Xenopus tropicalis: one gene and its partners. The protein of the gene in region 3 interacts with the protein of the main gene of each other region in a biochemical or structural test. Links are inferred from orthologs where the notes say so. Each region holds a gene or a part of one and is shown on either strand. Other genes may lie near its edges.

Region 1 (3,636 bases), on a different chromosome or scaffold from region 3:
TTATTTGCTCTTCCAATAAGTGATTTTCTTGTAAGTGTACAGTGCAACGCAGGATTGGCATTAGGCACAGTTTGCTGTTGGGAGGAAAGAGATATGGGCAAATTATATAAATACATTTTGTTTTCTGTTTGAGCTGCTGTCTTTTGTTCCTTTAAATACAAACTTGAATACTCTTTTTACTGTTGTCGTCTAAGATACAGAGTCATTGCTAGCAGGTTTTAGCAGGGCAAGAGCAAGTAATTTGCTTATCTGGTGTGCTGTCAATTCTTGAGGTTTACAAAATTTGTATTAAATCAAAATTTGTAGTTCTTAGAGTAACTAGAAATCATATAGTATAAGCTGTGTCTTGGAATACTGATCTAGATATATCAAATTAACTTTTAGTGCATCCTCAATGTATCAAGAAAATAACCTAAATCAAAGACATATGGGAAAGATAAGTGAAACTAATTTAAAGAACCAAAGCTTAACTAAAGGAATAGGATAGAACTTTTGAACATTGTTTTGGGCTTCTGCACCAATCCAAGGCAACCACAGCCCTTTAGCAGGTAAGATCTGTGCCCCCAGTAGCCCCCTATCATCTTTTCTGCTGATTCACTGCACATGTTCTGTGCTTCTGTCAGTTAGAGCTTAGTAATTCATTTAGATTCACTTTACATGGCAGCTCTGAAATCAGGGCAATTGCATCAGAATAGAATAATTATCCCTGTAGCATGAGCTTATATTACAGGCCAACCTCATTTTCTGTTTGATAATTTGCAAAGACTTAGCTTTTCAACAGCTGCTCGGATCACACGGACCATGTGCCCTGTCCCGGACAGTTCTAACAGAATCCAAGATGGGGATCTCCTGTGACTACTGTAAAGACCAGTACCATTACTACTACAGAGATGCTGAAACTTTTGGCTAGTGTAGTCAATTTAGTATTTAAGTTATGGCATTTTTAGGGTTTAGTTCTCCTTTAACAATTCTGCTGATTATTATTATTATTATCCTTTGTATAAATTCTGCAGTGCTGTACAGTAATTGAACATACAGGTTCCATAAAAAAAATACAATTAATAACAGGTACAAAAGGGTACAAAAATAAGTTCCATTCTTAGAACAAAATCTTAAATGCTGATGATCCAGCTCTAAATTATCAGCCTTTGTAGGAATGCAACAACTCCTGAATGTCTGTATTTTTCGATGCAATTGTAAGTAATGTTGCTGGTCCAGTTCACCTACCACTGTGCCTGACCTGATCATAGGCTTCTGGATACATTCTGGATAACTTTAAATCACAGTGCTGAAGCTACCCATCCTATGATATATATATATATATTTTTTTTTTCTTTAGAAAGTAACAGAAGGTCATCAGGATAAACTGGAAAAGCAGCACTGGGCTATGAACAAATTGCAAAAGCATCAAGAGCACATCCTTAGGTTTGCCACGTGGGCACTGGAAAGTGACAACAACATAGCCTTATTGCTTTCAAAGAAACTGGTAATATAACATATAGCGTTTAGCTTTGTCTTTCTGATTTTACTTAAGTATGCATCCTAAATTGTTGCATTTTTTTTGTCTGATCAATAGATACATTTTCAGTTGCATCGTGCTCTAAAAGTTATTGTAGATCCAGTTGAGCCTTTAGGTGATTTAAAGTTCCAGTGGGACTCTGATACCTGGACAAAGCATGCAGAGTTTTTTGGTAAGAAATGAAACATTTCCCTTTTTCTTATTCATAATGTTCAGTGAAGAGATAACTGATGTCTTGTGGCAAAGTTTCAAATAATAAATGCCTGCTTGTGTGATCCAAACAGCTTCTGTCTAAGAACATCCCACACAGTTGCCAGCAGTATCTGGCTGAGCGATCAGCATGGCTTCATCTTGCTTGCTTTTCATAGAGCCCTATCTCCTTACCAAAACTAATTGTCTGTGAAAAGAACAAGAACTGTTCTTCAGGCTTGGCCAGAAGGGCCCCACTGACTGGAGGCTGCCATTTTGTTTAATCAGTAACGCCTGTATAAATCTGAGCTATGTTTCTTCATGATCACTGAACCCGGTGACTGAAAACAGAGATTGTGGGTTTCAGTGTTTGAATTTAAGATTAACGTGGAAATTATAACAACCAGATTCTGTCATCAACTAAATAATATTGGACCATTGATGGCAACAGTATACATGTAGCCTTTAGTGATGAATCTATCCTGTTTTGCTTCACCATAAAATTGGCGTCAGTGGGCGCATTATCTTTATTTTATATTTATAACCGCAGTCTTATTTCCATTTTACAGGCAAAATTGTATGCGACAAAACAGGTGTTCCTCAGTCATCTTCTGGATCGTTGGCAGCCCAGTCTATAAATTCTGCGTCATCTCAGGTGCTGGCTTCTCTTACTAACTTTAATCCAATGGTACAGAATCGACCAAGGCTTGGTGCTTCCCAGATTCAAGCATCTCCAGCCAGAGCTGGTACAGCTGGTAACTTCATCCAGCCCATGCAGGTTTGGATTACAAGATGGGGATATTTAACAAAAACAAATTGAAAAAAAACATATCACGTTCATCCCATTAGAGACCCCCCCCCTTGGACTTTATTTAATGTAAATAGATATGTTCAACTAATGTAACTGATATAGGAATGTTCTGTAGTGGCCTTGAAAACCCCCTAATTACAGATCACTTTCACAGGTCCAAGTGTATGGATTTTGTGCCTTTGGTGTATGACTTGATATTTCAGCCTTGATTGGAAGGTGTGCACATGATTCAGTTATGAAGGAAGTTTTAACTTTTGAAGCTTCTGCTCCTTCCTCCTCTCATTGACTTTATGCAAACTGGAAGCACCAGACTGGCGGTTCTGTCCCTTAAACATGTATTAAGTTTGCATTACAGCCGTTAGGAGGCAGTTGTGTGGATTTAGGCCATTCTCTGATGGCACAAATATCCCATGTGCCTTCGTGCTAAATATAATATATAGGTACACAGTAGAAGACAATACTAGTGGTTTACAAAGATGGTATAGTGTGCAATGTTGACATGGCACTATGCCTAGTTCCCTGTAACTGCAACCCGCCCTATGTCGGCAAGAAATCAGAGCTCCATGTGCATTGAGATACACAGATGAAGTGCCTTCATTTCCCCCGTGGCTGCCTACAGAGTAGCATGTAATGCAGAAGCAAGCCACACTTGTAAGTAAGCTAACCCACTCCCTAATTCTGGTACTGGCATTCTGAGGTATTAAGTAGCCAGATAAGTTAAGACTTTCCCTTTGTAAATGGAGCTTTTAATCCCAAAGGTTTACCTGTTTGTATCCTTTTGGCCTCTGGCACACGGGGAGATTTTCACTGAAATTGTGGAAGTTTCCTCTCAAGGCAACTTGCGCAATTTCACTAAAATCACGCCGCCGCGTATGCCATCCCACTTGGATTTACATTTTCGCCGGTGGGATGGCATTTCGGGCAGATTAGTCGCCCGTGAACTGGGCGATTTGTCGCGGGTGACTAATCTCCCCGTGTGCCAGAGCCCTTAAGGTTTATGGCACACAGGGCATTTTGCCTGCCCCTGTATCCCAGCAAAGAACAGTGCGTACAAAACACTGCTATAGTGTCAGTACTGCCGATGGTAATTTGCCTCTTTTATCTTATAATGTTGCCT
Region 2 (3,636 bases), on a different chromosome or scaffold from region 3:
CAAGAAATAATTACAGTAACCAAATAGGAATATCAACCTCACAGTCGGCTGTTAGTTTGTGGGGGTCAGTGACCCCATGTAGGTTACCTACTGGGGCGTCCTGTATTTAACTTGCCCTTTAAACACAACCTCCTTTATATCATGGCTAATTAAGCAGCCATTGCATGAAGTTGTTATTACGGAGCATCGCTTGGGCAGGGAGCCTAATTACATTTAATATGTCCCTTCCCGCCATCCCTCATTGTCCTTCCTGTTCTGCAGGGCACATAATTAAATAATTACCCTCGTTTACTTTGGGCCGCTGTTTGTATTGCCAAGAAGTCACATGACTTTTAATGCCCATAAACTGATTTTAGTCACAGCTTCCGCTTGTGCTTTACCCTTTTCTTTATTTCTTTTCTATATTCACTATATACCCGAGTACAGTAAGGAACAATGCATGTTTATAAATATGTCCCATAGTATTCAGGCATGAATTAACCCTTTTATTATCAAACAAAGAGCAGACTGGCGCCCGTAGGCTGGCGCTCACTGCAGCGTGACGGCCAAGAACTGGTTTTACCTCGGGCCATTGTTCTAAAGGTTCCGGTTCTGCCGCTGGCGGTCACTTCACACCCAGCGAGTAATACCTGTACATCCTTAGGATTAAAGGATCATTTCTCAACACTGGGCAAACCCATGAAAGCCAATCAAACGCGTGCATTCATTTTTCTACCTGCAGCTGGCTGAAAAAAGCCAGTCTCTGATTGGTTGCTATGGGTAACTGCCCACGGGGCAAACTTGCCCAGTGTTACTAAATGAGCCCCAGTGAATTTATTGTGTGCACTGACAGCGGTATGTAACAGGTTAATCCTGCAGCCCATTTACTGACAGAAGCTCTGCAGGTACCAGAAGGCCGTTGGGCCCGAGCCCAAACTTTGTAGACTTAATGTCTCCTTCTCTTTCCAGGGTATCAGCTCGGAGCCCATCCACCTAAAGATATTCTCCCCGAATGTGGTCAACCTGACGCTCGTGGATTTGCCAGGAATGACAAAGGTAACGTGGGGGGAAGACAAGCCCCCATGTGTAATAAAAGGCGTTTCTCCAGTAGCAGTAACCCTAGCAACCAATAAGATGTTTGCTTTTAAACAGTAGTAAATTCTACTTGCTGATTGGTTGCTATAGGCAGTGCTGCCATCAGGGAGGCACAGGGGGCACAGTTGTCCCGGGCCCGGGCAACCTTCACTTTTAAAGGTACAGTTTTCTGACGGACCCTGTCATCTGTAATCCAATCCGATTGGTCGTGTCCCGTGCATGTGTGTGATGTCAGTATTAACGGGGGGGTAACCTTATAAACGGGCCGGTCCGCCGGAGCCACCGCCGCCATAGAAGATGCCAAAGAAGACGGTGTATGGGGGGCACTGTCTGCCGGGGGCAATTGGGGGCACTGTCTGCCGGGGGCAATTGGGGGCACTGTCTGCCGGGGGCAATTGGGGGCACTGTCTGCCGGGGGCAATTGGGGGCACTGTCTGCCGGCGGCAATTGGGGGCACTGTCTGCCGGGGGCAATTGGGGGCACTGTCTGCCGGGGGCAATTGGGGGCACTGTCTTTGGGGATCTGGCCAGCATAGTGTTAGGGGGGCCCTGATCCTTTTTATGTCTGTGTGTCCTTTGTACTGATGAGAGGGGCCATTGAGGCAGGAGCCCTGTGGGAGGGGGCCCTGTGATTTCTGATGGCGGCCCTGGCTATAGGTTACTGCTCCTGGGCAGTGCCTTTTATTACATAACCCCCCAAAGTGGCCCGGTACAGCACTGCACTCCTCAGGCGTTTGCTGGTGTTTAACGGAACAAGATTACCCTCTAGTGGCCAAAAGATGAACGTCCTTTGTGTGGCTTTTAATGCCTCCTACCTGGGCACGGGGGGAAGAGAGCAGCCCAGGAGCAGGAAGTAGAAAGATTCAGAGCTCTGGGGCAGAAATGGGACCCATTTCCATTCCAGTTGTCTTTACCCTGAAATTTATATCCATTATTATAACGTGGAGGTTTTTCTTCCCCAGGTACCTGTCGGCGACCAACCCAAAGACATCGAAATCCAGATCCGCGAGCTCATCCTGAGGTACATCAGCAACCCCAATTCCATTATCCTGGCAGTCACGGCTGCCAACACCGACATGGCAACTTCAGAGGCTCTTAAGATCGCGCGGGAAAGTGACCCTGACGGTAAGTCACCTCTTTTCTGGGTAGAAACCATGTGATCATGACCAGAAATGCTACTGGGTAATCCTAAATAGAAAATGACCATTTTAAGAATTAAGGGCCACCCCCTGGGGTGCTAGGGGCCACATCAGCCAATGTATGGGCAGAGTTCTGTTTTTTGCTTCCACACTTCAGCTGTTGGTTAAGTATTCATTTTGGGGGTATAGTTTCCCTTTAACACTGTCCGCCATAATGGCTTCCCTGGTCACATGTTCCTAAATTTTCCCCGATCCCATTTATCCAGGTCGCAGGACTCTCGCCGTCATAACCAAGCTGGACCTGATGGACGCAGGGACGGACGCTATGGATGTGCTTCTGGGACGGGTCATCCCGGTCAAACTTGGCATCATCGGAGTGGTCAACAGGTATCCAGATCCGTTACCTTTTTACCATATACAATGGCATGGTCGCAGCTTGGGCAGCACAGATCTAAAGGGTTATTGGGGGTCATTTATCAACACTAAGCACGATTACCCATGGGCAGTAACCCGTGGCAACCAATCAAATTGCTGCATTCATGGTTTTACCTGCAGCTGGCTGAAAAAAAAGAGAATTTCCGATTGGTTGCTATGGATTGCACCCCATATAATGAGAGCCAGTCGCCATTTATTTCTCGGAATGGGGCTGAGCTATTGGCTGGAGAAAGGCAATAGCTTCATATGGTGAGAACCCTAATTATTGATTTCTAATTCAAAGGAGCCAGTTGGACATTAATAACAAAAAGAGCGTGGCCGACTCTATCCGGGATGAGTACGGGTTCCTGCAGAAGAAATACCCCTCCCTGGCAAACAGGAACGGAACCAAATATCTTGCACGGACTCTTAACAGGTAACGCTTCCTTCCAAAATGGCCACCATTAGGTTAACTTTTAGTATATTACAGAATGGCCTCTTCTTAGCAAGTTTTCAATTGGTCTTTATTTTTCATTCTTTATAGTTTTTGAATTCTTTTCCTTCCTCTTCTGCCTCTTTCCTGCTCTCAAATGGGAGTCACTGACCCCGGCAGCCAAAAACCTATTCCTACAGTTTTATTGTCACTTATTTTATATTTAGGCCTTCCTCTATCCATATTCCCGTGTCTAATTCAAGCCACTGCCTGGTTGCTAGGTAAAATTGGACCCTAGCAACCTGATAGCTGCTTGAAATTCCAAACTGGAGAGCTGCTGAATAAAAAGCTAAATATTTCTAAAACGGCAAATAATAAAAAATGAAGACCAATTGCAGTTTGTCTTTAAAGGTGAACCACCCCTTTAATGCCTGCTCTGGGTAACAGCAATGGAATCTGGGAGGTATTACTCGGTACAACTATATGTTGGCAGCAAGAGGATAAAATGCCCCATATGTATATGCCGTGTCTGTAGGCTACTGATGCACCACATCCGCGACTGTCTGCCGGAGCTGAA
Region 3 (4,411 bases):
CGGTTTAATTTGTAGGGGGGCATATCAGGAGTCACGATCCGCACATTTGGCAACCCTGCCATATGGCCACCTTTAGGATGGGTGTTGGGTGCAGACTGCACTAACATAGAGAGTAGACCAACTTTGAACCACATGGTGTTTTCTTTTGTTTCAAGTTATGTTTGGATCAGAAGAATGGCTGCTGATCTCATATAATACTTATGACTCATTTATTTTGATATGCAATTTACTCTCCCCTTTATTTAAAATATTTGCTGTGGTTTCTCCCTTTTGCTTGTGACATTTGTATTGTCATCCCTTTGTTGTTTACAGATCTCCACCTTACAAGCAAACTCCAAATGAAAGAAAATAAATGCCCTTATAACCATGTCCCAATATGCACTGCTTGTACCCTAGGCAATTTTGGGTGGGTTTTAGGCCTTTTCATTTTTGGGGGGGTAACTATGAGGAGCAGAAGGCTGTCAGTGTTATTAACAGTAAATAGGGAAGAAAGACAGTAAATCCCAGTGTTGGAATGAGGTGTGTGGGGTCCACCACCTCAACAGACGGTTTTTCTCCTATCGTTCCGCTCGTCCAGTCCCACCCTGGGAAATGGCTGTATTTTATGTCCCTAAAAGGGCAGCCACCTTCCATGATTTTTATGTTTTGTCTGGAAACTTTGGATATGGTTTGGATATGATTTTTATGTTTTGTCTGGTAACTTTGGATATGGTTTGGATATGATTTTTATGTTTTGTCTGGTAACTTTGGATATGGTTTGGATATGATTTTTATGTTTTGTCTGGTAACTTTGGATATGGTTTGGATATGATTTTTATGTTTTGTCTGGTAGCTTTGGATATGGTTAGCTTCTCTATGTTTTTGGTATGTATAACTTTATTTATAAAGCGCCACAAGGATACGCAGCACTGTACAATCTTACAATATACACAATTACCCACAGGTAGGGCAAGTGTTATAATAAATTTCAATAAATAAGTATAAATACACAGGGAGTAAGTGCCATGGGGTATGAGACACAGTAGGAAGGAGGTCCCTGCCCCGTAGAGCTTACAATCTAAGTGGTTGGGTAACATACAGGCACAAACTGGAAGGTAAGAGGCACCAGGTATGGGCATTTGCCCTTAAGTGCAGGACTGATCAAAATAAAGTTTTAGTGAAAAGGTAACTGGTATGGCAACTGGTATGGCTTCCTCCTTTGGCTTAATTATAGGGGGGGCTGTTTCTGGAAGCTTCTATCATGGCTCCTGCCCCCTCTATGAGACTAGGCCAATGAAGTCACTGGAAGGGATTTAGCCAATCCCGGGTACAATGCGGCCCAACCTCACCCTGACTCTCCTCAGAGTCAGACCCCTCCCCCCATGCGCGCCCCCGCCGCCACGTGCTCCCCAAGGCGGGCTTTTCCCTACAGTGGAAATAGCGGCGGGGGCGCGCACGCAGAGAGTGCGCCAAATCTTCCTTTCCGTACGTGCGCGCTCTCGTTCCACGTCCCGCGCCAGTTCAGGCTCTTTGTGAGGAGGAGGCAGCAGCGAGAGTACCGGGCACCGGGAGCGAACTGACAATGGCGGACGATAAGCCCAAGGTCCTGCTCCGGGCTGGGAGAGGGAAGGGTCGCATAGCGGGCTTGGGGCCGGGGGCAGTGGGTGCGGGGCAGGAGGAGGGAGAGGCCTAGGCGCTAAAGGGAGGGGGCAGCGGCCTGCGGGCTGTGCGGGGGCTCTGTGGGTACGGGAGGGGCCCGTAGGGAGACAGCCGGGAGAGGGACGCCCATACTAGCGGGGCTTGGTTATGGGAGGCTGCACTGCATTGGCCCACTAGGTTTATGGGGAAGGGAGCACAGGAACCAGGGAGCACTGGGGAAGGGAGCACTGGGGAAGGGAGCACTGGGGAAGGGAGCACTGGGGAAGGGAGCACAGGGGAAGGGAGCACTGGGGAAGGGAGCACAGGGGAAGGGAGCACTGGGGAAGGGAGCACAGGAACCAGGGAGCACTGGGGAAGGGAGCACTGGGGAAGGGAGCACAGGGGAAGGGAGCACAGGGGAAGGGAGCACAGGGGAAGGGAGCACAGGGGAAGGGAGCACAGGGGAAGGGAGCACAGGGGAAGGGAGCACAGGGGAAGGGAGCACAGGGGAAGGGAGCACTGGGGAAGGGAGCACTGGGGAAGGGAGCACTGGGGAAGGGAGCACTGGGGAAGGGAGCACTGGGGAAGGGAGCACTGGGGAAGGGAGCACTGGGGAAGGGAGCACTGGGGAAGGGAGCACTGGGGAAGGGAGCACTGGGGAAGGGAGCACAGGAACCAGGGAGCACAGGAACCAGGGAGCACTGGGGAAGGGAGCACAGGAGCCAGGGAGCACTGGGGAAGGGAGGACAGGAACCAGGGAGCACTGGGGAAGGGTATGTTGGGCACTGCCAGTATTGGGAGATGGGAAGTAAATGGGAATGGGCGACCTTGGCTATACTGGGAATAGGGATATTAGGGGGGCCTGAGCCCAGGTATGTTGTGGGGGAATATACTGGGGCTGGGAATTGGGAGGTTAGGGGGCCCTGAGCCCAGGTATGTTGGGGGGGGAATATACTGGGCCTGGGAATTGGCAGTTTAGGGGGCTCTGAGCCTAGGTATGTTGGGGACATATACTGGGGCTGGGAATAGGGAGGTTAGGGGGCCCTGAGCCCAGGTATGTTGGGGGGGAATATACTGGGGCTGGGAATTGGCAGCTTAGAGGGCCCTGAGCCCAGGTATGTTGGGGGCATATACTGGGAATTGGGAGCTTAGGGGGCCCTGAGCCCAGGTATGTTGGGGGCATATACTGGGGCTGTGAATTGGGAGCTTAGGGGGCCCTGAGCCCAGGTATGTTGGGGGCATATACTGGGAATTGGGAGCTTAGGGGGCCCTGAGCCCAGGTATGTTGGGGGCATATACTGGGAATTGGGAGCTTAGGGGGCCCTGAGCCCAGGTATGTTGGGGGCATATACTGGGAATTGGGAGCTTAGGGGGCCCTGAGCCCAGGTATGTTGGGGGCATATACTGGGGCTGTGAATTGGGAGCTTAGGGGGCCCTGAGCCCAGGTATGTTGGGGGCATATACTGGGGCTGTGAATTGGGAGCTTAGGGGGCCCTGAGCCCAGGTATGTTGGGGGCATATACTGGGGCTGGGAATTGGGAGCTTAGGGGGCCCTGAGCCCAGGTATGTTGGGGGCATATACTGGGGCTGGGAATTGGGAGCTTAGGGGGCCCTGAGCCCAGGTATGTTGGGGGCATTGACTTTAGGGAATGAGGTAACTTGGGGAGAGAGGAATTCAAGAATGTTGAGTGGGAAAAGATGTAGCCTCTGGCCAGTGAGAAGGGCAAGTATTATGGGAGAGCTTAATGGTGGGAAAATGGGTATGCAGGGCTCAGTGCCATTAAATAGAGTTAATACTGGCCAGAAGCCTAGGTTATGTTGGGGGCATTCCATGCAGAGTAAGGGGCATAAGGGTGAAGACACACTGAGCTACTAGCAGCAACTAATTTTTTACAGCTACAAAACACCAGAAAATCCCCTGCCTTAGACAGTATGGAGCGTTGCGAAAACAGAGAATTATCAGTAACTGATTGGCATTGAATATTTTAGTAGCTGTGACAAGTAGCTGCTACTACTGTGTGTCTTCGACCTAAGGAAGGAGAATTCTTAGTATGGAAGGAATTTTAGAATTGAGGAAGTAGTGTAGGTAATGGAGGAACACGTGTTAGAAGCAGGAAGGGTAAGGTGCATTAGGCACAGTGGAAAGAAAGTTCTGAGAACTTTTAAACTTGTATTAAGTCTTTAGATTCAGGGTCTGTGACACTGTGAAGCAGTACCATGTTATTCTGCATACTGGCCCTCAATGTGATATTGCTCTCTTAATCACTGGGACCTGTTAATTGGGGACCTAGAGACACAGGCAAGCGTACTGTAAGGCTAATATATACGATGAGGTTAGGGGCTAGACCAGCTTTTGTGAGTGTAGTTGTAAGTTAAATGCCTGTGCAGTCAGTAAACATTCCAGAACTGTAGCTCCCAGCAGTGACTGTTGTTCTAAAGGGAACATTTGGTGTATTTTGTGTAATGACATGCAGCCTTATAACTTCTGTGCTCCCCATCTTTCTTCTTGTGCGTTGTGAACACATTACCAAATGTAGCATGGTCCCCGGCCAGATCTAATATAACTAGAGTTCTTTTGTCATTTGGTGCCAAAGTATTCTCTAGAATGGGGTGCAAAGAGCTCATTTCTCACAACGGGATGAATAACCACAAGCGTTACCAGTGTTTCTGTGCCATGATGCCCCTTCCCAGCACTCATTCCACTTTTTACTTCTTTTAGGAAGGTGTTAAGACCGAGAACAACGACCACATCAACCTGAAAGTGGCTGGCCAGGATGGCTCAGTGGTGCAATTC
Region 4 (3,636 bases), on a different chromosome or scaffold from region 3:
TGTGCCAACCGTTCCCCTTTAATGGCAGCACATGATCATCCATAAATGTAAACCTGCACCTGTGCAAGCTGTAGTCCCAGTTGATGCTTTGAAATGCAGCTGTCCACACTTCCAGGAAACTGTTGCCTGATAAGTACTTGTAAATGCAGTTGCAGGTGACCCACTGTGCAAGCCAGTGCAGCAGATTTGGGCACTTGTTGTTACTCTTAAAATGGTTTTTAAAGCGGACCTGTCACCCTAAGAAATAAATCCAAATTATTTTCTATATTGTTAGTTGAGCAAAATAAACTTTACTTACTCTATATAAATAATATAAATCTTGCTTCCTTCCGTCTTGGAATTACTCAATGAAAGCAAGCAGGCAGGCACCATTTTGTGGACACTGTTATTAAGGCAAGCTTTGTATCATGCCAAAATCTTGTTTATGTGATAGAATGGGGGACCTGATGCCCAGGCCCATGCACTGGCTACACAATTAGATAAGGAGGAGGGAGGGGAGAAGTGAGATGTGCAGTGACATCTAGGAAGTGCTGAATGGAAAGCTAAAGTTACTTTCTGCCCCGCCTCTATGCCTAAGGCATAGAGGCGGGGCAAGCAATATATGATTGACAGCTGTGATTTTTAAATGCCTTTATAATGGGTTTGGATGTGTTAATATAAAAATGAATTTGGGTTTCATGTTTAATTTGAACAGGACTTTTATTATACAGATTTTCATGTCTGGGTGACAGGTCCACTTTAATAGTGCCCGAAGTACCACTTCCTAAGCTATATTATTTTTTTAATCAATGTAAGTTCTAATTCAATTGTAATTTCACCTAAAAGCTAAAATAAGTGTTTTACTGTTTAACATTTAACTTTTCTATTGCTTTCCCTTACACAGTGATTTTTTTGAACGTACTATCCTGTGCAACAGCCTTGTATGGAGCTGCTCCCTGACAGGCAAATCTGGCCTTACCTACCAAGAAGCACTTGAATCGGAGAAAAAAGTGAGACAGAGTCTGAAGACCTTCCCCGAGTCCTTAATCGTCCCTATCTTGTACCTCTCCACACTTGTGAGACGCCAGCGGGTGACAGATTTGTGTGAAGAAATATTTGCCTATGTGAAGGACAGATTCTTTGTTGATGAAACAGTGACTGTGGTGAGAAACAGTGGCGCAAGGTAAATTGAATAAGTCAGTGAAGCAGATCAGTACGTGTCTTTGTGAAAACAGCAGTGTCTGACATTTTCCTCTTGCAATGGCTGAGCCAGAAAAACAACTCTGTGCAAGGCTTAAGATAATGTATTCTATCATGACGTTGCACAGAAGAGGAAGTACAGTGAAACAATTAGTGTTATATTATTATTTATTTACTAATAACTAATGCTACATGGCAAGCTACACAATAACTCCTTGCTTGCATAGGAGGCTAGTCTTCCCAACTTGGCAGGCTTTCCTCAAGATTAATCTCTGTGGGAAAATTGGCCCAGGGGACACTTGTGTAAAAGTGTATTAAAACCTAGCTCAGATCATAATGCTTTTGGGCGATGGACAGGTGTTCTCAGAATAGAAGTGCTTTCTATCATGCTATATTATTTATATATTCTGGACTTTCGTTACCAGATCACCAGCCAATATCTGTACCTTAGCTTTTTTTTTACTATTATTATATAGAAGTATGGGTCCATTTTCCCGAAACCCGTAATCCAGAAAGGTCCAAATTACAGAAGACCATCTTCCATTGACTCTATTTCAAAATTTTTGTGTTTCATATTTATTTTTTCCTTTAATAACAAAACACTTCCTTGTACCCAACTAAGATTATTAAAGGGGTGGTTCACCTTCAAGTAAACTTTTAGTATGTTATAGAAACGTATTTTATTTTTCTATTCATGTCCTCTCCTATTCATATACCAGCCTCTCATTCAACCTGCACCCTGGTTGCTAATGTTATTTGGACCCTAGCAACCAGATAGCTACTGAAACTCCAAACTGAAGAGCTGCTAAACAAAAAGTGAAATGACTAAAACACTACAAATAAAAAAACATGAAGACCAATTGCAAATTGTCTCAGAATATTACACCCTACATCATACTAAAAATTGAACAACCCCTTTAAAGGAGAAGGAAAGACTAAGTCACTTGGGGGTGCCAAAATGTTAGGCACCCCCAAGTGACTTTAATCGCTTACCCCGGGCTGGTGCCCCTGTTAGTACCTTCAAGCACTTCCTTCTTCCTAGTTTCTTCTGCCGGCAAAATCCCTGGGCCGGCGCATGCGCAGTAGAGTGAAAAGCCGACTTCTTTGTTAAAGTTCGGCTTTTCACTCTACTGCGCAGGCGCGAACACGGAGGAGGAAGCAATCGCTGCAGGTACCCCGGGCTGGTGTTTTTTTTTTTCCTAACAGCGGCACCAGCCCCAGGGTAAAAGGTAAGCGCTTAAAATCACTTGGGGGTGCCTAACGTTTTGGCACCCCCAAATGACTTAGCCTTTCCTTCTCCTTTAATCCTTACTGGAGGCAAAACAATCCTATTGGGTTTAATTAACGTTTCAATTATTTTTTAGTAGATTTAAAATATGAAGATCCAGATTACGGAAAGACCTCTTATCCACAAAACCCCAGGTCCCAAGAATTCTGAATAACAGGTCCTATAACTGTACTTTAGTCCTGGGTATATAATAGAGCATACTTCAGTTATCTGATATAGAATAGAGCCTGATAAAATCCTTTACCCAGGTGTAAAATAAATACTATTGTTTCACAAATATATGTTGATTAAAAATATTTGCACTAATGAACCTGGGTAATAATAGCTTGAAATATCCATTAGTCTGTTTATACAAGCCAGAAATTCCACAATTCCAATAGTAAAAATGTTTGGTTTATTGCTGTAAGAACAAAAGAGGCATTAGGATTTTGCGGTAAAGTCTACCTTTGTAACTAAAAGCCAGTTTTAAAGCTTTTTGCATTTATTTCTGTTACACATGGCTAGAAAATAAAGGCTGAGCAAAGCATTGTCTGAATGCTATTACCAGTTCTTTCAGAAAACACTTTGCATGCACAGACATGTTTGAAATGATTCTGCTTAGTTTATTCAGCCTTTGTTTTTCAGGTTGGAGTGCAAAATCTTGGAAGTTAAACTCCCTCCTCAACAGAATGGAGTGGCTAATGGCCATGTTAGTAATGAAGATACTATTGTTATCAGTGATAGTGATGAGGAACCACCTAAAGAAATGCCACAGACTAGGTAAGTGAACTTCACACAGATTTAGAAAGATGTTATAATAAATTTGCACATGACTTTATCTGGATAGTAATTTTTTTTATAATATAAAAATACAAATTCAGGTTACATGATAGATCTGCTATGTTTGTTTAAGGTGCTACCATTTTCTTAAGCAAACCCGCATTACTGAATCGGCAATACTTAAAACGAGTAAGTTGAGTTAAAAAGCTCAGACATGTCCAGGGGGAAGAGGGAGAAAGGAGCAAGCTGTGTAGGCTTAAAGCTGAGAGAGGAAAGTCTGGCTCTGAAGCTTATGTGTAATAAATAGAAGCAAGGGAATGCAGTTTGTTTTCACAGAGGACTCAGAGCAGCAATACTGTAAAATGTTTTGCTGTATTTACATAGAACTTTCTGATAAAGCTTACTTAGTT

What was found. The genes of interacting proteins can lie anywhere in the genome.
Region 1: the proteins of sumo2 (region 3) and trim28 form a complex in vitro, tested with the Homo sapiens proteins (2 studies listed by BioGRID). The link is inferred for Xenopus tropicalis from reciprocal best matches to the Homo sapiens genes SUMO2 and TRIM28.
Region 2: the proteins of sumo2 (region 3) and dnm1l form a complex in vitro, tested with the Homo sapiens proteins (2 studies listed by BioGRID, with this or other methods). The link is inferred for Xenopus tropicalis from reciprocal best matches to the Homo sapiens genes SUMO2 and DNM1L.
Region 4: the proteins of sumo2 (region 3) and baz1a form a complex in vitro, tested with the Homo sapiens proteins (2 studies listed by BioGRID). The link is inferred for Xenopus tropicalis from reciprocal best matches to the Homo sapiens genes SUMO2 and BAZ1A.

What each region holds. Positions count from the first base shown.
Region 1 is NC_030683.2:102,993,796-102,997,431, forward strand, and holds part of trim28 (transcription intermediary factor 1-beta), read left to right. Parts: intron 1-1,339; coding exon 1,340-1,486; intron 1,487-1,576; coding exon 1,577-1,691; intron 1,692-2,277; coding exon 2,278-2,363; intron 2,364-3,636. UniProt on the Homo sapiens protein: Nuclear corepressor for KRAB domain-containing zinc finger proteins (KRAB-ZFPs).
Region 2 is NC_030679.2:4,788,600-4,792,235, reverse strand, and holds part of dnm1l (dynamin-1-like protein), read left to right. Parts: intron 1-948; coding exon 949-1,035; intron 1,036-2,035; coding exon 2,036-2,198; intron 2,199-2,478; coding exon 2,479-2,599; intron 2,600-2,930; coding exon 2,931-3,062; intron 3,063-3,594; coding exon 3,595-3,636. UniProt on the Homo sapiens protein: Functions in mitochondrial and peroxisomal division.
Region 3 is NC_030686.2:44,410,850-44,415,260, forward strand, and holds the start of sumo2 (small ubiquitin-related modifier 2 precursor), read left to right. Parts: upstream 1-1,551; 5' UTR 1,552-1,561; coding exon 1,562-1,582; intron 1,583-2,292; exon of another isoform or gene 2,293-2,529; intron 2,530-2,876; exon of another isoform or gene 2,877-3,734; intron 3,735-4,336; coding exon 4,337-4,411. UniProt on the Homo sapiens protein: Ubiquitin-like protein that can be covalently attached to proteins as a monomer or as a lysine-linked polymer.
Region 4 is NC_030684.2:109,375,423-109,379,058, reverse strand, and holds part of baz1a (bromodomain adjacent to zinc finger domain protein 1A), read left to right. Parts: intron 1-883; coding exon 884-1,162; intron 1,163-3,091; coding exon 3,092-3,226; intron 3,227-3,636. UniProt on the Homo sapiens protein: Regulatory subunit of the ATP-dependent ACF-1 and ACF-5 ISWI chromatin remodeling complexes, which form ordered nucleosome arrays on chromatin and slide edge- and center-positioned histone octamers away from their original location on the DNA template to facilitate access to DNA during DNA-templated processes such as DNA replication, transcription, and repair.